4 linked regions of the Oryctolagus cuniculus genome follow. The protein of the gene in region 1 purifies or fractionates together with the protein of each later gene. This does not show direct contact. Links are inferred from orthologs where the notes say so. Each region holds a gene or a part of one and is shown in the gene's direction. Other genes may lie near its edges.

Region 1 (4,565 bases):
CAGTAGTGGCCTTTTGGGGAGTGAACCAGCAGACAAAAGTTCTCTCTCTTTCTGTGTGTGTGTGTCTGCCTTTCTGTCTTTAATTCTGCCTTTCCAGTAAATAAATCTGTGTAAGTGTGTGTGCGTGTGTGTGTGTGTGTATTCACTGATGTGATGTAGCAGGTAAAGCTGCTGCCATCCCACATTGTGTCTCAGTTGCTCCACTTCTGATTCAGCTCCCTGCTAGTGACCTGTGCAAAAACAGTGGAAGATGACCCAAGTGCAAGGGTTCCTGCCAGCCTCCTGGGAGACCTGGATAAAGCTCCTGGCTCCTGGCTTTGGCCTGGCTCAGCTCTTGGTGTTATGGCCACTTGGGCAATGAACCATTGGAAGATTGGTCTCTTTCTCTATAACTTTTTCAAATAAATAAATCTTAAATAAATATATATATATGTGTGTGTGTGTGTGTGTGTGTGTGTGTATACACACACACACAAAATATTAGAAGTAGTTTTCAATTTAGATTTGAGTTTTGGTTTCAACTAAAGAAAAATGATGAAACCTTGTAAGTTTATGTTCTAAATGTTTAGCAAGTTTTTACTTGAAGACAAAAATTGGAAACCTGTGTTGAAGGAAATTTGTTTACTTATTGATCCTAGGTAACTGTGTACCTTTCTTATCTGTATGGGGCTCTTGTTCTTTACTAATGGATGTAAAATTATGCCTAAGTTGCTGTGTTGTGTTTAGATGTTATCCTTCACTGTTTGAACTCTCCTTCAAACTCTAAAGGCACTTAGGATTTTGGAGATTTACGAAGTTAGATATTTGTTAGCATCATCAGTTGTGATATCTTAGTAGATTATACTTTAGTTTGTACCAAATTAGTGTTTTCTCAATTTTGAAGACACTCTTCCTTGTAGTTACTCCACACTTATATCCATAGAAGCTAATTTTTCAGTAACTTGAAACGGTATTAACTCTTCAAATGAATAATAACTGAGTGGTGTCAATGTAACATTGTGTTAACTTACTGAGAACCAAGGAAAATCATTTGAAAGCATTTGGTGTGTTTTTTTAACTGCCTGTTGATATTGGATCCAGTGTCTTCAAAACTTTGAAACAAGGTCTTAACCCAAGTTAATATATCTAGACACAGTTGTTTGGTTATAAACATAATTTAATTGATTTGATGAAGAGGCTTATTTATCTCACATGAGCAATTCAAACTTTAATCAACAGCCTTTTTTTTTTTTAATTGGATGAAGAAATTCTGCTACAGTGAGATACACTTGTAAATTTTCTACTTCTGAATGTTGCTTCTGTGAATTGAGAATACTACTTTGAATAGTTAGTCTGGTAATGGTAGCTTATACTGTATGAGTTTAGCACAGCTTTGAAATGCTGCCTAATAAACAGGGTACATTGCCATCAATACTTCTCACTTCACTGTACTTTAAAAGGATAACATTTGAAGCACACCTCTTCCTTTATGTGGTTTTGACATGAGTGTGCATGGGTAATAAAATATGGTGATACAGGTGGCTCCTAAAGTGCATTCATGGCATAACTACTTTACTGGGATTTGTAGTGCTATAAGCACCAGTATGAACTTATGTGAGAGAGTACCACATATTGGTCTGTTGTCACTGCTATTCAGTTATAGGGTAAAAGAAGCTATAGGTATTAGTAAAGAAATGAGCATGATTATGTTTTACTGGTATCTTTTTTTTCTTTCTTTTTTTTTTTTTTTTTACAAAAATTAAAAGTTGAGCTTCAAGTAATTGTCATGGCACAAAATACTCTTGTTTTGATTTTTTTTTTCTTTCACTATTTGAAAAATTTGATACAGCTTCCTGCTAATACGTGCTGGGAGATAGCAGATGATGGCTTAAGTGCTTGGACACTTCTACAGACTTGAAAGACCCAGATGGAGTTCTGGGCTCCTGACTCTGTGGCCTGGCTTAACCCTGGCTATTAGAAGCACTTGGGGAGTAAACCCGTGGATGTGTCTATTTGTCTGCCTCTCTCTGCCTTTATCTATCTATCTATCTATCTATCTATCTATCTATCTATCTATCTATTTAAAAGAGTTACACAGAAAGAGGGAGAGACAGAGATCTTCCATCTGCTGACTCACTCCCCAGATGACCATGATGACCGAGGTTGGGCCAGCCTGAATCCAGGAGCCATGAATTTCTTCCTGGTCTCCTACGTGGGTACAGGGGCCCAAGCACTTGGGCCATCTTCTGCTGCTTTCCTAGGCCATTAGCAGGGAGCTGGTTTGTAAGTGGAGCAGCTGGGATTTGATCCCGCACCCACATGGGATGCTGATGACACCTGCAGTGGGTTAACCTGCTGTGCCACAACAGCTGTTCTCTGAATCGTTCCTTTAAAAAATAAATATGTAGAAACTATTCTTAGCTCAAATGGCAGTTGGCCAAATTTGGACTGCGGGCTATTTGCCAACCTCTGTTTAATAGTACTAGGGATTTACTAAAGAGATTTTAAAATTAAATTAACAGCATTGAGTAAGGTGTGGTCTTCAGTTAATATATAAAAATGTGCTTATGCATTTAAAACATATAAAATAGGACATATTCCATGGGTTCTAAGAGGGAATTTCAACGTTTAAGGTTCAAACTCTCAGGGAGTCTCTTAGGGTAGATATAAAATAAGAAAGAAATGAAACATTCTGGAATGTAAGAACCCAAAAATAAGTTTCCAGAATTCATGATGATTGTTCTCAACTTAGAACCTTAAAAAACAAACTTACGGTTTTATTTTCAGGTATCATCAGAGAGTCTTATATATTGATATAGATATTCATCATGGGGATGGTGTTGAAGAAGCTTTTTATACCACAGATCGTGTAATGACTGTATCATTCCATAAATATGGGGAATATTTTCCTGGCACCGGAGACTTGAGGGTAAGAGCAAATTCTGCTTGAATAAATGTAAGATATAACCTGTATCTGAACCAGTATTTTTCCTGAATCATTAATTTGAAGCATGCATGCAGAATTAAATCACTTTGTATACTCTACCATCTGCTAGAATTGACTTTGCTGACTATAATAAAAAATTTTAAAAAGGGGCAGACTTTGTGGCATAGCAGGTAAAGCTGCTGACTGCACTGCCAGCATGCCATGTGGGCATCAGTTTTTGTCCCAGCTACTCCACTTCTGATCCAGCTACCTGCTAATGGCCAGAGAAAGCAGTGGTGGATGGCCCATGTACATGGAACCCTGTACCCATGTGGGAGACGCAGTAGAAGCTCCTGGTTCCTGGCTTCAGGCCAGCCCAGCTCTTGCTGTTGCAGCCATCTGGGGAGTGAACCAGCAAATAGGAGATCTCTGTCTCTGTCTCTCTTTCTCTAAGCTCTGCCTTTTCAAATAAATAAATAAATCTTTATCCCCCAAAAAATATTAACAAAAACTTAAAGGACTTTTCTTTTGCTCAGCTATTTTATTTGAGTAAATATTATTGAACATCCATGGCACATGAAGCCCTTAGTATTCAATTTGAATCTTCAAAACTACCTAGTAGTAGCATACATTGCTTTTGATTGTAAAAGTTGTTGGAATAAAATAGACTGGGTGCTTTTAGATTCTTGCGCTTTCCTTTGTGATTGGTTTTGATTCAGTACCTCTAATTTTAATCTCTTTTCCTTAGCCTTCTGAAATTTGTAGTGTATGCCATTTGGGGAGAGAAAAAAAATACCAACATTTAGCACTTGCCTGCCTGTTACATTCTGTGCATTTATTTCTGTTTCTCTTTCTGTTACCTTTTTCCATTTGGTGCTCTTGTGTTTTATAAATGTGAAAAGCACTGCCAAATCCTTCTATACACTGCCCACAGTTGTTCTTCACTGGAGTTTTTTTTTATGTTTTTAACCAGACTGCATACAATATTGAAGTTTATTGAGAAATATAAGCAGCTGTTTTTAGTTCAGCCTGGATTGAGGTATTCCTCCTAAAATGACATTCAACATTAGTTCTAAACTGTTAGTTAAAATTTTATAAGCTTGAGGTCTGTCATACAGTTTGGCAACCAAAGTTTTAGAAAGAGTACCTTTCTTCTTCAGATGTGTGGCTTTTCTTTGCTTGACCACAAGGTGGTACTCTTTCAGTAAACTCTTGTATAAGAGAGGATAGTAAAAGCTTGCCTAATAGATAGAAGGAGGTCAGGTATTTAGATTGAGTCTAAATCATTTAACTTTTAAAATTATGGGTTTATAATTTCAGTTCCTTGCCAATTAGCTTATTCAACTTTTCCCTTAAACCATGTGGTTCTGTCTTATAAACTAATAATTTGCAAAGAGTGATCCCTAAACTAGCAAGACCAGTGATACAGGGAAGTTGTTAAATAGTCTCAGATATATTCTCAGATCCCAGAAACCCTTATTTTACCCACAGAAGTTTGAGAACTAGTGCCCAAAACCATTGGAGTTCATTTGTTTATGGGTGTTACATCCCATAGAAATAGAACAAGATACTTCTCGGCTTTAATGAAGCTTAAAAAAATAAATTAGTGTTTTTTGCATAGTAATCCTAATCGGTGTACAAAGAGGCAAGTGGAGACCTC
Region 2 (4,998 bases), on another chromosome or scaffold:
CTATACCTCTCTCTGTAAATCTGTCTTTCAAATAAATACAAAATAAATCTTTAAAAAAATGTATGTGGAGAGACCTCTCAACTGTGATAGTTCTTTAAATTCCTCACAGTAGGATAAATCAGTATTGAGAAACTATGATTTTAATAAACTTTACTTTTTCAAAATTAAGTTTTCTACTTTCATTTTATTTGAAAGGCAGAGAGACAGATACAGACACACACACACACACACACACACACACATACAGAGAGAGAGAGAGAGAGAGAGAGGATCTTCTACCCACTGGTTCACCCTCCAAATACCCACAATAGCCAGGGCTAGGCCAGGCCAACAGCAGCAACTCTTTGATTTTAAATCCCCACTTGTATTTGTTGTGTTTGGAGGAGCTGAGCCCAATTTCTCTCCCCTACAATCTTGGTCTCTTTCAAAATAGTCCTGAAGGAAGTATCAGAATAATTTATCTTTAACATTAGTTATAATGAATATGAACTAATTTCCATCATTCATCCATCCCAAACGTATCAGAACATATAAAAAATCCCTCCTAGTTTTAATAAGACTCTTTAAAAACATTTTTGCTTTGTTACAGATAACATGAGTGCTGAATATCTTTGGGTTATTTTCTTTTCATGTACCCTTTATCCAAATGGTCAGCACTTACTCCATGTTATGACTAGAAGCTGACTCCCACATCCCACTGGACCCACGCAGCAATCTGAAATGTGTTAGCTGATTATCCGTTCCTTGTAGAGTTATATTTCACAAACAGCTTTCTCAATAAAACAGAGTATCTGTCTTTGCCCAAAAAGGTGTCACACTGAAGCACATCTTACCTTTCTCATAGCTGACTCATCTGTCACATCTCTCCCCCACACCTGAGGAGTGCTTAGCAGTGCCTGGCACATTGAGAGTGTTCCACAAATACTGCAATTAGTAAGACCTGGACTTTTTCAGCGTCCATATTTTTCCTGAATCTTTATTGTAAATATGTCTTACTCTGCCCTCTCTTTGCTTCACTTTCCTTTTTTCATTCTCAACCAAGAATTCTCTGCTAACTTCAAAAGGAGGAATGACTTGCAATCTGCAGAGAGTAAAACAGATCTTCTCACTGTCAAATCATCTTGCAGAAGTAATTCAAGTATACTACAATTTTATGGCTGCGACACTAGACTGGTTATCCCTTGTGTCTTACGACGAGATCCAAAAGAGAAAACATATCAGGCAGGTGCTCAAGGTATGCTGGGTTCCTTCTCACTTCCACGCATTTACAGATGAGGACACTGAGGTCCAGAAATACCAGCACTCACAACTGTGTTCTAAAACAAAGGAGGCTGCGTTTCCTTCAGTTGTACGGCTTGATGACCCATCTGACAAATCAACAAGACTCACCAATGTATTCTGCACCTGTCAAGAGTGCAGATGTAAGTAACAGAAACTATTTTGGTGAAGTACTAAAATTGTATTGTTATTTGCCTGTCGCTTAAGTCTCACGGGTTCATAGTTGGAACTATCCACCGATTTATAGGCCTTTGAGTTTTTCAGGGCCTTGTTTAAAAAGAGCACTTGAGTTGTAGCTGTTCAAGGGTCTGTAATTTTAGCACACTTCTACTTAAACCTTAGCCAATATTGGCCACAACCGGTTGAGGTTAAAAAAATTATTGCAATAAATATTCATCAGACCAAACATCCGTCAAGAATTTAGGGTGCGTCCTGAGACGATGATTGGTAGCGCTTTGAAATCCATCCCTGGCTATGCACACGCAGTAGAAAACTACCAGGTTCAGCAAACAAGATTTCGAAAAGAGGAGGGGCCTGGAGGAGGAGGGACCCCCACAACCCAGCGCGAGAATACGCCTCGGCGCGTGCGCACCTCCAGGTGGGTGCCTTCCATTTGCCAGATGGGGGAAGCAAGTGCGACTCAGTCTACGGTTTTTAAATTCCCATCCTCAAGCAAAAGTTACGTTGGCATAATCTCGTGAATCTCGTGAAGTCGTCACCTCCCGAGTTCAGGTTTAAAGACTCTTGGCACGCAGAGCTTAAGCAAGAGGTGACTTAGCAAAGCTTCCCCCGTCCCCTGGGACACCGGTGGTCTACTCCATCCACAGACTTTCGCTCCCTTTGCAGCGAGTCGGAGATCGAAGGATTGGGCCAATTGCGGCTGAAACGTCTCTGGAAGGAGGAAGGGGGTGACGGAGCATCCCTTTTGAGTTCTGCCTGTTCTTTTCGAGGTGGTGGTGGGGACGGGAGACATACGAAATACTACCCTCTTAAGCCAACGGATCCTACATCTCCGTGCAAACTGCCGGGGGGGCGGCGGGAAAAGGGCAAAACGGGAGTCGGGAAAGGGAAGGAGCCAGAAAGCCGCGCAGGAGGGCGCGCGCGCGCGCCCCTTTTTCAGCAGTGTGGCGGGGTCGCACGCACGCCCGCCTCGGCGGCTGGGCGCGATTTGCGACACTGGGGGGAGCGGTGGAGGTGGCGGCGGCAGTGGCAACTTTGCGGCAAGCTCCGGACGGGCTTGCTTGACGGCGGTGTGGCGGAGGCCCCGCCCGAGGCGGCAGGAACCTGGGGGGAGGCGGAGGAATATGTCCGAGAGGGAAGTGTCGACAGCGCCGGCGGGAACAGACATGCCTGCGGCCAAGAAGCAGAAGCTGAGCAGCGACGAGAACAGCAACCCGGACCTCTCTGGAGACGAAAATGTGAGTGCGGCCCGGAGCAGCCACGGGACTCTGCGGAGTGGGAGTTTTTAGATTCTTTAAAAACTGCGGGTGCGGGATGGGGGGGCCGGCGCTGGGGCGGGGAGGGGGTAGAGCGAGAGGTGTCACCCCGTGCCCGGGATGGGGAGGGCGTGCGGGCGAAGTCGAACCTGTGTCTGGCGGGGATTTTGAGCCGCGGCCGAGAGCAGGCAGAAAGTTGGCCAAGGAGAGTGGCTTAAGTGAGAGCATGGGTCCGAGAGCTCTCCTCTGCCTGTGGGGAAGTGTTCGGGCCTTTGGGAGATAGAGGGAAGAGTGCGGGTCTGAGATTCCAGTAGTTTAAAAGGCGTGCTAGATTTTCTTTTTTTTTTTTCCCTAAGAGTGGGAAGGAGCGGGCAGTCGAGAACTCTTTCAAAGGAGTTCGGGCACTGTGTCGCTCTGACCCCTGTAGAATCTTCAGGATGCAAAGGGTAGATCTTTGAGTTAATGGAGTTTGAATGAGTGTTTAAGAGCGCCTGGTGTCTGCTCCCGTCCTGTGCGAATCCAATAATGAGAATCTAAAAAAAAAAAAAAATCTTGAACGTGTTTTAGAAAGCTGGTGCGAGCATTTCTCAGTTTGGCCTGCTTTAGGAATAAATGTTGTATCTCACACACGCTGTCCTTAAATTCCCCAGCGTGAATGCCTACTGAAGCGTGTTTATGGCATGGTGTCATGACCAGGATTTTCACGGAAACGGTGGGGGAAAGATTGCTTTCTGCAGAGAAGAAAGATTTCTTGGAGATTGTCAGCTTATGGGGTTTTGCACTTAAAATTTCTGGAAAGTTTGTCTGATATTACTTTAAATATATCTATATGTATATTTCTGTTTGTTCTCCCCAGTCTCACTACATAATTGGGTCTAACATTTTTTATCTTCATTCCAAGTCTTGAAGACCAAGTTTTATTTCTTCGTTTTCGTAAAATTCTGTCGGCAGATTAGGCTGCAGTTAGGAGCACAGACGCTGGATCCACATGTTAGGTTAAAATCCCCACTCTAACTGGTTGCTTGACCTTAAGCAAAGTATGTGACCTAGCTGCCTCAGTTTCTCATCTTTAAAATGGGTATAGAAGCTTTTTTTTTTAACTTTATGAGTTATTGTATTAAATGACGTAATATAGGTAAAGTGCTTAGAGGAGTACCTGCCCTATATCAAGTATTAAGCAAGTGTTATTTGTTTATAGTACTTATTTTGTGATCACCATAGTATGTTTCTTCTGGCTATTTCACATACTGACGAATCAAAATATGAAAATGTTAAATCTATTTAGGAGAATTTCAGGAGAAGAAGTCAATTGAAATCTTATTTTCTTTTTGCAGACCCTTAAGGAGAAATGCCAGTGTTCTTTGTTTCATTCTAAAGCTATTCAGATCCAAATGATTGGATTAGCCTTTGTTTGGGTTGCTCCATTTGGCTAGAAACTGTATGTGCCTTGGACCTTTTAATGAATCTTACGGAGCCTTCTCAGAATAACATTTTTAAATATATAAAATACAATATCTAAAGTTAGAATTTTGAAATTGTAAAGTGTGGCATAAAATATTTCTAAAATAAATTTTAAGTGTAGTAATATTAGCACTTTAAATAACAGGAACTAGCAACAGATCTGGTGGCAGTGATGAGTATAAGCAAGTTTTTCAATATCTGTAACCAATATAATGTGATTTCAAAATACCTGATTTCCATTGGTGAAAAAAATCATGTAACATTAGCACATATATTGTTTGTATTATATAATAAAAGGAAGTGCTAAATTTCAGTTAAGAGCTGTGAAAGTTAAAATGCAGTTTTTTGTGTGTGTGTTTTTATTTGAATTCACAGGCCCTCTCAATTCCATAAGGACTCATGATCTAGGACATAGTTAGGGAAGTCAGTAAGGGAAGGGGTAGAGAATATTGTACAAAAACTGAATTCAGAAAGAACTCACAGCTCTTGAGGGAGGTGAATAATGACAAAAGACCAAAAATAGGTGTGGGAAAAATGTGTTTTTGAGTTCAAGTTAAGACAGCTTGAGCAGTTCCTATTGTTAAAGTGAGTCACAGAATTGAAAGAACTTTTTTAAAGTTTATTGTGTATGTCATCTGCCATTTTCTCAAACTTATAAAGATCCTATTGACAGCAGAGTAGATAGCTTCAGGCTGAGTACTAATGGTTGCCGTGGTTAAAAGAGAAAAGTGAAGGCTGAGTCTAGAGACTTGTCTTTTTGCTTAAGTAACTTGTGCCAAGATTAAAGGACAAATTAGTGGTAACTCCCTGTCTGTTTCCTTGT
Region 3 (5,092 bases), on another chromosome or scaffold:
AAGGAAATCCGCGCGAGCTTCGCCGTGGCCCCTCAGAACGCCAAGGTCACAGCCACAGTGCGAGACAAGCGCCTGGTGAAGATGGAAAAGGAGCTTAGTGTGTGGGTGGAAGACATGAAGAGGAGGCGCGTGGCGATCCATGGCAGCGTGCTGCGGCAGGGGTCCCACCCCCCACCCCCTGTTCACCGAGAGTAAGGTCACGAGCTGTCTGAGACCACAGGCACCTAGCTTTGTTACAGTGCGATACAGTTACTCGGCCTTCCTACAAGTTACTGTTGCTGTCCGTAATTTGTAAACTGTGTCCCAGGCCTGTGCAGGCAGCGGACCCTCCGCAGCTGGTCAAGGCTGCAACTGTATCATTCTAATTAAACAAGCTCCCAAATGTCAATGCAATGCAAGTGAAAACAACAACAACAAGAACAACAACAAAAACCTCCCAAAGTTGCTCGTAAGGAATTGGTCGACAAAGGGCGAACCCCCCCGCGCAGACCCATGCGTCTGTGTGCGAGACCGTGGGGGTCGCATAATAAAAACACACAAGCCTCCTGTCCTCAGACAGGAGCTCTCAATTCTCCCCTTCGGGGAGCGAAATCCAACGTTTCCAGGAATTTTTTTTTAATGGGTGTGGCCTATGCTGGAAAGGAGACCCAGGGAGCGCCGATCCCCGAACCCAAAGGACGCGTTTTGTATTTTTTTTTTATTTTTTTGGACCTGCATCAAAGGCCGGGCAGTTCGGAAAGTTTTCTCTCCCGAGCCCACAAAGAGGCCGGGAGGCCGCGGGGAGCCGTGCGGCCGCCACCTAGCGAGCGGCGGCTGCGGGGGGCAGGGGGCGGCGGCGGCGAGGTTCAGGTGCGTTAGCGTCCAAGGCTTTGCAAACTTCTGCTGCCGGCCAACTGTGCAGGGCTCGCGGTCCGCCGAGATTCCCGGGCTGAAGAAGAACCAGCACCTGGGCGGGCGGGGCCGAGGCTCGGGTTAAATCCCTTCGCGGTTCCCAGAACAAAACGGGGCGCCGGGGGTGGGGTGGGGTGGTGGTGGTCTGCAAGTCCGGCCTTTTGCGCCCACTTGGCTTTTTCTTTCCAGACGTCGAGTGGCAGGCGGCAGGGTGGGCCAAGCCTGGGGAGGGAGAAAGACCGACCCGGGAGCCCCCTCCCCTAGCCTGTCCCGGGCTGGGCGGCTTCCGAAGCTAGCTTTGGGGACACCCACAGGAGTTCTTTGTGTCCCGCAGGGTGGTGCAGGGCGGAGGGCGATGGACTGGCCCGGGGATTCCCGGCCTTTGCCGCGTCCCCAGCTCGCCAATGTGCAGGGAATTTCGGGTGCCACAGTCCAGCGGGGGACTTGGAGCGCCGCCGAGGCCGGCTGGAGCCACCACCCGTCTCCATTTCCGCTCCTTCGCCCCCCCCCCCCAGCTCCCCTCCCCCACCCGGGCGGCCGCGCAGGCCCCAGGTGCAGCCATGTTCTTGCTCCCACCACCCGCGCCTCCATTGACAGTCCTCGCCGGAGAGGGCCGGGCGCCGCGCTAGCCTCGTCCTCCTGCTCCGGGCTCGGCGGCGCGCGGCTTCCTGGGAGTTGTAGTCCCCCGTCCCCGCCGCCGCGTTGGTGGGGAACCAATCAGGAACTACAACTCCCGCTGGGCGGTGCTGCGGGTGCGCACGCGCAGCGCGCCTTCGAGGAACAAAAAAAAAAAAAAAAAAAAAGAGGAGGAGGAGGGTGAGAGCGAAGCTCGGAGAGCAGAGAAAAAGGGGCCCACTGGTCGCCCCCCCGCCTCCCCGCACGCGCTCTCTAGCTGCGGCCGCCCGCCTGCCGCGGTCACCCCGGCCTCTCTCAGGGTTCCCCCGCGATCGGATCCAGGCGCTGCGCGAGGCCCTGCCGGGGCGGCCATGCGGCGGTGACAGGAGCGCGGCCGAGACGCAGCGGCCCCTCGCCCCCTCGCCGCCCGCCAGCTCGCCACAGCCGAGGCTGCTCCCCGGCGGCCCTCACTCGCTTCCCTTCGCACCCCCGGCCCCGGCGCTGCCTGGAGGCGGCTGCACTCGGGTGAGTCCCTTTGGTCTCAGCTCCCACTCCCGCCCCCAGCCCCGTCCTGCGGCCCCCGCCGCGGGTGCCATGGCGAGCTAGGCCTTTTATTCCAGACTGCCCCGCCGAGGGCCTGCGCAGGCAGCAGTCGGGGTGCTGCGGCCGGGCCTTTGAGGGGCGCCCTGCTCCCCCCCTCCCCCGCCGGCCCCGGTCGCGGGGGCGCGAGGCGGTGGGGGTGGGGCGGACGCGGTCGCGGGGGACGGCGGTTGCACGCGCGCGCCTGGGTGCGCGTGGGGGAGGGGCGCGCGCGCGCTCGCGCCGGCCGGCGTGTGGTGTATGAGTGGGGGCTGGGGGGAGGGGCGCACCGCCTGGCGTGTGCGGCCGCGCCGGCCTCCGGCGCGCTGATTGGCCGGCCGGGCGGAGCGGGGGCGCGCGTCGTGCCAGGCCCGAGCCGTGGGGTCGCGCTCGGCTGGTGTATCCGGGGCTCCTGCGCCGGGGCAGCAGACGCGCGCGATTGGCCCGCGGGCGCGGGGGGCGGGGCCGCGCTGCCTTGGTAACCGCGCGGGGGGGCGGGGTGCCGGCGCCGCCCCCCGGCCGGCTCCCAGGTGGAGCCCGTCGTGGGCTTTGTCCCGGGCCGGCCTGGCGCGCCCAGCCCCGCGGGGCCTGGGCTTTGGGGCTGGGGGAAATAAGACACAATGAGCGGAAGAGAAAACCTCGGCCTTGAGGCCATGCACGCCTGCAGGACGGGGCGGGGGCGGCTCGGGCCCTGTCTGGCCTGCCTCGCCTCCGGTTCTGAGCCCCTCTCGCTGGGGGTTCGGCGCTGGTCTGCGGCTGGGTGTGTTCCGAGGGCGAGGCTCGGGCCGGCGGGTGGCCTGTTGCCCCTCGCGGCCGTGCAGGAGGCCTGTACTGCGCGGGCCGCCTCGGGGCTCGGCCACCCCGTGGAGGGGGTGGGTGGACTCGGCTCACGCCGTCCGTGGGCTTATGGAGCTCTTTCCTGCCTTGTTCTCGTGTGGTCTGGTTGGAGGTGGCCGGTCGTCCTCGGTGCGCCTGGCACTTGTTGCCCTCCTCGGAGTCACCAGGCGCGTGCGCGCGTGCAGCCTCTGCGGTGCAGTGGGCAGGGCCCCGAACTTCTGAGCGGCGTCCTCGGGACCGGCCCGTGCGTCTGTTTTTCCGTGGTAGCCCGGCTGCGGTGGGGAAGGAGGCACGAGCCGGGGGACGCTGGGTGCGTAGCTTCTGCTTCCCGAACAGCGCATCATGGGGGCAGCACAGTGGGCTGGGCTGCACCCCAGGTTCTGATCCCGTGGGGCTGGGGCCTAGGAATCCGCATTTCTGGTTGTGAGGGTAGCTTTTCTTTTCATATGAGAAGTGGGTTTTAGGGGGCAGAGTCTGCACCCCAGCTGGTACCCTTGGCTGCAGCTCGGTGGATGGCATATTTATAGCCATTGGCAGTGGTAGGAAATTCAGGGATGTGTAGAAGTTTGCTTTTCGTTACTTTGAAACGACGTTAAATAGGACGGCTGCTGCAGTCGTCGGCTTGCGAGGGAAGGCTCTTTGGGCTAGCCACGATTACAAATTTAGAAGTTAAATCTGAGGTTTAAAAAAGCATCCTGGATGTAAGTGCAGACTAAAACTAGAAATCTAGTCTGGGGGCTGGCGCTGTGGCTCAGAAGGTTAAGCCTCAGCCTACAGCCCCGGTATCTCTTATGGGCCCCGGTTTGAGTCCTGGCTACTCCCCTTACGATCCACCTTTCTACTAGTGCGCCTGGGAAAGCTGTGGAAGATGGCCCACGTGGGAGACCCAGAAGAAGCTCCTGGCTCCAGCCTGGTCCAGTTCCAGCCAATTTGGAAGTGAACCAGCAGATGAAAGATCTCCCTCTGTGTCTCTCCTTCTCTCTGTTTCTCTGCTTTTTAAATAAATAAATAGATTAAAAAAAAAAAACTAGCCTTGTCTTTTTTTCCCTCCCACTCTGGTTCATTTGTTAATTAATTCATGGCACAGGCATTTGCCATGTTCTCTCTTAGCGATGCCTGAAGCATCACATACGCACCGTAGAGGCCAGGGTTTGGGAAATAGGGCGGGTACTTGGCACTTGGGCCTGGAGATAGGTTTGGTCAGGTGGGGCGTTCAGAGCAGCACCACGGCCACGCGTGCCCCCGACGGCTTGACTTCCTTTGCCTGCAAAGGCTTTGCATGAAAACATAGCCCTTGGACGTTATTTTTCTTGAGGGGCAAGTCTTAGAACTATTTTTAAATTTTTTTATTATAATGGATTTTATTCTGGGGAAAATAATTGTAAATTAGGTAGGAAGAATGAGGCTACTTTGTACAATTATGTTCTATCATTAGAAGTTTGTTTTTTGTTTTGTTTGAAAGAGAAAGAATGAGAGACAGATCTTGCGTGTGCAGAATCACTCTCCAGAGGCCACAGCAGCCAGGGCTGGGGCAGGCGGAAGCAGGGAGCCAGGAGCTCAGTCCGGGGCTCCCGCCTGGGTGGCAGGGGCCCAGGCCCTTGAGCCAGCATTGCTGCCCCCAGATGTTCATTACCAGGAGCCGGTGGTCGGCACTGCGGGTGGAGCAGAGCCCGTCCTCTAACCCATGCACTCTGATGGGATGTGGGCGTCCCAAGCAGCATTTCAGCTGCCACGCCAGATGCCCCCCCATCTTCTCTCACTTCTGCTGATCCATAATTGCATGATGTGTTCCAAAACAAAAAGTACAGAAGACAAGACCTCTGTTCTGGTGGTGTTACCCGGAGCTGAAGTGAAGCACTAAAAATGAAATGTTTAGCCTTTTCTCGCACCTGGTCACCAGCTGTCTGCATTGCCTTCCCCCTAATTCGTTTCTACTGTTGTGTCATTCTTTATTGGAAAACTTCTTTAGTCTGAGTTCAGTTTATTTGAAAGGCAGAGATGGAGGTCTTCCATCCACTTGTTCGTTTGCCCAGAATAGCCAGGGTTGGGCCAGCCTGAAGCCAGGAGCTGGGAACTCCCATCAGGGTCTCATTTAGGTGGCTCTGCAGGGAGCTAGAATGGAAAGTGGAGATGGGACTTGAACCCAGGCACTGGGGTGTGGGATGCTGGT
Region 4 (5,173 bases), on another chromosome or scaffold:
TCCGTGCTGCTCTGGGGAGGATTTTTGGGCAAGAGTCAGGAATCAGTCAGCCCTGGCTGCAGACAAGCTGCCCTTGTAGTTGGGGAGCTGAGCAGGGGCGCCCCAGGAGGGCAGGCTGGTTTTCTCCAGAGCCCACGCCCCAGCTGCTGGCCCCCGTCTGCAGAAACAGCACGCGGGGTGGCCCCAGGCGGACCTGCCTTGGGTGCCTGGGTTGCACAAGTCATTCCACTTCTGAGCCTCCTTCCGCTCTGCTCACCTACAAACGAGGATGGCGAGCGGGGCATAGCACACAGGGCAAAATCAGGTCCCCTCCCAAAGAGAAAGGCTGTGCTGTGCGTGGCAACGCGCCGCCGGGGCTCAGAGCAGCCTGGGGCGTTCAGGGGTCCCCGCCGGGGTGGCACTCGGGGCAGTGAGTACGCTGTCCGGCTGCGGATCTGCTGTGTCAGTAACCTCACCCACGGCACACCACCTGCTGCCCAGAGCCTCCCAGGACCTGAGCCACATGCTGGCAGCACCGGGATCCTCCTCGCGGCCGGGGTCGCCGGGTCAGCCTCTTCCCCCAGGCAGGGACCCAGGGACCCAGCGAGAGCCAGGGGGCTCGCGGTGCAGGCCGGCGCCCGCTCTACCCTACCGTTTGCCTCATCTGACGCCGGCACAGCGCAGGAGCACACAGGGCTCATCTCCCGGCTCCCCCTCCTCTCCCCTCCGTGGTCTCCCCAAAGCTGCGGCTCCCCACCTGCCCTCTCTGCTTACAGCCCAGCTTCCCACGTGGACCCTGGGGCCGGGGCGGAGGGTGGGGGTGGCGGCTGGCAGCCTGTCCGCTCCATTTCCCACCCCGTTTCGTGGAGAGGCTCAGGCCCAGGTAGGGGAGACAGGAGCTCGTTTAAGCCTCCGACAACGGCCACGCGAAGCGCAGGGCCGAATTCCGCCAGCCCCGAGCTCCTCCGCCTCACCCCGCCGAGGGCCGCTGGCTCCATTTGCCGCCCACCGCCCACTCCAAATAGCCGCCCTCTCCCCTGAGTCTCTCCAACACTGCTCGCCTTTCTTGCTCGCACGCATCCCCTGGCCGTGCCCTGGTCTAGTGTGCCCCGCCTGAACTACCGGCCCACCGCACGGATCCCTCCGAGCCCCGACCAGCCGGTCTCCCTCGCTCACACCAGGCGCATCCGGCCTCTGCTGAACACAGACCTGCGGGGTGGCCCTGCCCCCTGGAAACTCTTTTCGGTTGGCAATGGAGACCAACAGAGCAAGGGCGGCAGGGCAGAGGCAGGGCAGGCGTCGCAGCACTGTAGCCACCAAACCCAGCGCCTCCCTCCCCTCACTGGGCACACCCCAGAGCCCACCGGCTGCTAGGGCGCTAAGCACCCGACCACACCGGCCTGGGCCTGCGACCGGCTTTTGGTCCAGCTAGGAGACGTCCCGCGGCTTGGGGCCACCTCTGCCACCCTGGTTTCCAGCATCGCAGTCCTCACGCTTTCCACCTGTCCCTTCGTGCCCTTTGCCCCTCCGCTTCTGCCCGGGGCAACCCCTAAGACCCACCTGGCTCGCCGCCGCCTCCACGCGGCTCCGCCGGCTTACCTGCAGCCGGCAGGGCTCTCCTGGGAGCGCCCGGGAGTCGGCCAGTCTGTGCGGGAGCACACTCCCGCCTCGCCTCGGCTCCTGCGGCAGCATCTCCACCGCGCCCGCACGCCCCAGGGCTGGGGTGACTCCCTCGCCGGGCTGCACGCAGGGCTTCCCGCCCGCACCCCTCGTCTCCAGGCGCCCAGCACGGCGGGCCGCCGTCCCGGAGCCCCGCCGCCCGGGACCCTCGAGGCGCCGCCGCGACGGCACCGGGGATCCTCCGCTCCGGGCTCGCCTAATTTATTTATTTGCACGGTTCCCGGAGGGAGGGGCGGGGCGAGCGCGGAGGCGGGCCCTCGGCCGTGACGCAGCGCCGCGGAGCCAATGGCCGGCGGGGGGCGTTCCCCATTCAGCACTCCTCGCCCGGCTCGGAAGGTATGTTAAACAGCTGCTTTCAATTCGGTGCCCCCGGCCCGCGTCCGGGGGGCGGCTCGCCGTGGCCGGCCCGACGCAGAGCGGGCGCGCAGGCCCCGGGGCGGCTCGGAGTCCCGCGGCCGAGGTAGGCGAGGGGCCGGCCCGGAGGGAGGGCGCTCGGCGCCGCCCGCCCGCCCGCCACTGTGTCTCCCGGCCGGGCCGAGCCGTGGGGAGGGGGCGCCAGCGCCGGCCGCGCCGCCTAGTGTTGCCGAGCACTCGGTGTCGGTAGGTTTCGGCGGCGGATTGGGGAGCGGCGAGCCGGAGGAGTCTCCGGCTCCGCTCACGCCTTTTTTTTTTTTTTTAAGAAAAACACACGAAAAGCAGCAAAAAAAAAAAAAAAAAAAAAGGTGGGTGGGGGGCCCTGCGCGCCGACCGGACGCGCTCCGGCAGGCGGGGGGCGGCGGCCGGCCCGGAGTTCCCTCCGCGCGGACTTGCCGGGCGGGCCGGGCTCGCGGCTTCCCTGCGCGCGCAAACTTGCACGAGGGGCGCGGGCGCCCCCGGCCCGGGGCCGCCGCCCTCGCCCCCCGCCGCCTCGCCGCCCGGAGCGGCCGTGAAGGTCGGAACCTGGGGAACTGTCTCCACGCTCGCTCGGGAAGAGGAAACGCATCAGCGGGCGGGAGGCGGGGCGCAGGCGCCGGGCGGGGGCGCGGGCCCGGCCGGCCGGCCGGCCGGCCGGCCTCCGGCCGCGGCCCAGACTGTTTACTACCGACTCCGCCGGCGGCTTGTGCAAGCGGCCCGCAGGGGACACGCGGGGCGGGGCGCCGCCTCGCCGCCCGCCGCCCCGGGCTCCTTGCGGGCCCCGCCTGCTCTTGTCTTCCATTGGCTGCTCGGGACTCCCTCTTTCGCTTCTCGGGCACGGATTGGCTGACATTATCTCGAGCTCCGCCTATAGGGAGGCCGGGCAGGAGTTTAAGTTGCTAGGGTTTTTTTTTTTTTTTTTCCGTGAAGGGCGGAGGGGGGGGCGTCCTGCGGCTACGTGAGGCGCGAGGGCCCGCCCCCGCTCCTGATTGGCTGCGCGCGCGGCCCCGCCCCCGGCGGAGCGAGCCGGGAGGGGAAGTCCGCCCTCGGCCGCGAGCGCGCCCCGCACATGTGTGAGGCCGCCGCGCTGCTCGCGTGCCTCCCGCCCGGAAGTCCCGGCTCCGCGCCCCGCGGGGGGAGGGGGTGGCGAAGGCGCGCTGGGCTGCCCGGCATCCCGCGGCCGGCGGCTTCCGGGTGGCGCTGGGGGCTCTGCGGGCGAGGGTCTGTCCGTCGGGCCGGGGCCGCGCTCTGAAGTTCGGGCCCGGCGGCGTGGCTGTTTCCGCGCGAGAGCGCTGCGGACGCCGGCAGCCGCTGCCCTCGGCGGGCCGGGAGGGGACCCCGGCGCGGGGTCGGGGCGCGGCGCGCGGGGCTGGGCCCGAGCTGCGCCCCCGCCGGGGGGTCGGCTCCCCGCAGTTCCCAGCTCGCAGCCGGCACTCACCTGTTGCCGGAGCTCGCTCCGAGGCTGCGGAGGGAGGGCGGTGTTGGGGTCCCCTCTGCGGGCGAGAGCGGGAAGCCCCGAGCCCCGCCCCCCAAGCAAGGCCACCGGCGGGCCCATGCCCTGTGTGCCGGCACCTGGTCTCGGTGCAGCTTAGCCTTCACGGAGCGGACCTAGGGACTGCCAGGAGCCCACGGTGGCCGAGGTGGACGCCGGCCGCGCCGGCCTCACCGCACGGGGAAGCCCCCGCCCAGAGGGGTCTGACCGCACGCGGGACCCCGGCCCAGAAGGTGTCTCTGCACGCGGGACCCCGGCCCAGAGGGGTCTGACCGCACGCGGGACCCCGGCCCAGAGGGGTCTCTGACCGCACGCGGGACCCCGGCCCAGAGGTGGCCTCTGACCGCACGCGGGACCCCGGCCCAGAGGTGGTCTCTGGCCGCACGCGGGACCCCGGCCCAGAGGGGTCTCTACCGCACGCGGGAGTCCGGCCCAGAGGGGTCTCTGACCGCACGCGGGACCCCGGCCCAGAGGTGGTCTCTGGCCGCACGCGGTACCCCGGCCCAGAAGGTGTCTCTGCACGCGGGAGTCCGGCCCAGAGGGGTCTCTGACCGCACGCGGGACCCCGGCCCAGAAGGTGTCTCTGCACGCGGGACCCCGGCCCAGAGGGGTCTGACCGCACGAGGCACCCCCGCCCACTCCGGTCCCTTCCTCGGTTCCTCCGCTGGCTCTGCCCCCGAGGCGGCCAGGGCGGTGGCCGTCGGGCCGCTTTCAGGGCTGCCCGTTCCGGTCGGGTTTGTGGGCGCAGCTCTGCCCCGGCCGCTGCTAGGCGGCGGCGTGCGACCGCCAGGCCGGAGGCTGAGGTTCGCGGTGAGGGGCGCCCGGGCCCCGGCGCTGCCCCCGGAACTCCGAGCTCGTCTCGGTGTCAACATTCCACCAAAGGACGGCGGGGCGGAATCGCCGGGGGCGGGCCCGGCGCGGCTGTGAGGTGGGAGGCGCCTGCGTCCCGCACGGACACTGTGCCCCACAGCGGCTGCCTTCCTGGGGCGCCGAGAGCCGGAGGTAGCCTTCCGAAACGCTGACCGGCGGAGGCGGGAGCCGACCTGCTCGGCCTGTGGCTGAGACGGCGCGGGGCGGGCCGTGCGGTGTCCTCCAATGAGACGAGAAGAGCTCCCCCGCTTCCGCCAATGGTGTTGCGGCTGGGGGGAGGGACTCGGCAATCCGTCTCCAATAGGCGGGGTTGAGTTAGGGAAGCTCCCCGCCAATAGGGGCGTGGAGAGGGTGAGCGGCTCCCCCTCCCTTCCCCACCGAGAGGGAAGGGGCGGGAAGTCGGCGGGCGGGGCGCAGTAATTGGCTGGCCTTTTGACTGGCGGGCGATGCGTCCTGTGGAGGAGCGAAGCCGAGTCCTCCCTCTGCTGGGCGGGCCGGGGGAGTGGGCGGGATTTCCCGGGTAACAGAGAAGCGGCCGCGGCGGTAGAGGCGGCGGAGACGGTTTCTCCATCTCCCCCTCCCCTTCCCCCCACAGAGTTTCCCTCCTTCCCTCCCTCCCTCCCTCCCAGTCTGGGCAGCCGGGCCTGTGACCGCCTCGGTAGCGGAGCGCAGGCTGCCAGTCCGCTTCGGCGGCCTCTGCCCCGTGCGGCTCTCGGGGCCTCCTGAGCCCGCGGCTCACGCCGAGAGGGACGCGCAGTG

The links.
Region 2: the proteins of HDAC2 (region 1) and EED purify together in Homo sapiens (affinity purification with mass spectrometry; 5 studies listed by BioGRID and IntAct, with this or other methods). This does not show direct contact. The link is inferred for Oryctolagus cuniculus from reciprocal best matches to the Homo sapiens genes HDAC2 and EED.
Region 3: the proteins of HDAC2 (region 1) and GTF2I purify together in Homo sapiens (affinity purification with western blotting; 4 studies listed by BioGRID, with this or other methods). This does not show direct contact. The link is inferred for Oryctolagus cuniculus from reciprocal best matches to the Homo sapiens genes HDAC2 and GTF2I.
Region 4: the proteins of HDAC2 (region 1) and SIN3A purify together in Homo sapiens (affinity purification with western blotting; 24 studies listed by BioGRID and IntAct, with this or other methods). This does not show direct contact. The link is inferred for Oryctolagus cuniculus from reciprocal best matches to the Homo sapiens genes HDAC2 and SIN3A.

The regions. Positions count from the first base shown.
Region 1 is NC_091436.1:57,431,113-57,435,677, forward strand, and holds part of HDAC2 (histone deacetylase 2), read left to right. Parts: intron 1-2,766; coding exon 2,767-2,908; intron 2,909-4,565. UniProt on the Homo sapiens protein: Histone deacetylase that catalyzes the deacetylation of lysine residues on the N-terminal part of the core histones (H2A, H2B, H3 and H4).
Region 2 is NC_091432.1:77,386,371-77,391,368, forward strand, and holds the start of EED (polycomb protein EED), read left to right. Parts: upstream 1-1,797; 5' UTR 1,798-2,582; coding exon 2,583-2,696; intron 2,697-4,998. UniProt on the Homo sapiens protein: Polycomb group (PcG) protein. Component of the PRC2/EED-EZH2 complex, which methylates 'Lys-9' and 'Lys-27' of histone H3, leading to transcriptional repression of the affected target gene.
Region 3 is NC_091450.1:49,806,478-49,811,569, reverse strand, and holds the start of GTF2I (general transcription factor II-I), read left to right. Parts: upstream 1-1,891; 5' UTR 1,892-2,031; intron 2,032-5,092. UniProt on the Homo sapiens protein: Interacts with the basal transcription machinery by coordinating the formation of a multiprotein complex at the C-FOS promoter, and linking specific signal responsive activator complexes.
Region 4 is NC_091443.1:108,520,951-108,526,123, forward strand, and holds the start of SIN3A (paired amphipathic helix protein Sin3a), read left to right. Parts: upstream 1-1,972; 5' UTR 1,973-1,995; intron 1,996-2,094; exon of another isoform or gene 2,095-2,119; intron 2,120-4,917; exon of another isoform or gene 4,918-5,173. UniProt on the Homo sapiens protein: Acts as a transcriptional repressor. Corepressor for REST. Interacts with MXI1 to repress MYC responsive genes and antagonize MYC oncogenic activities. Also interacts with MXD1-MAX heterodimers to repress transcription by tethering SIN3A to DNA.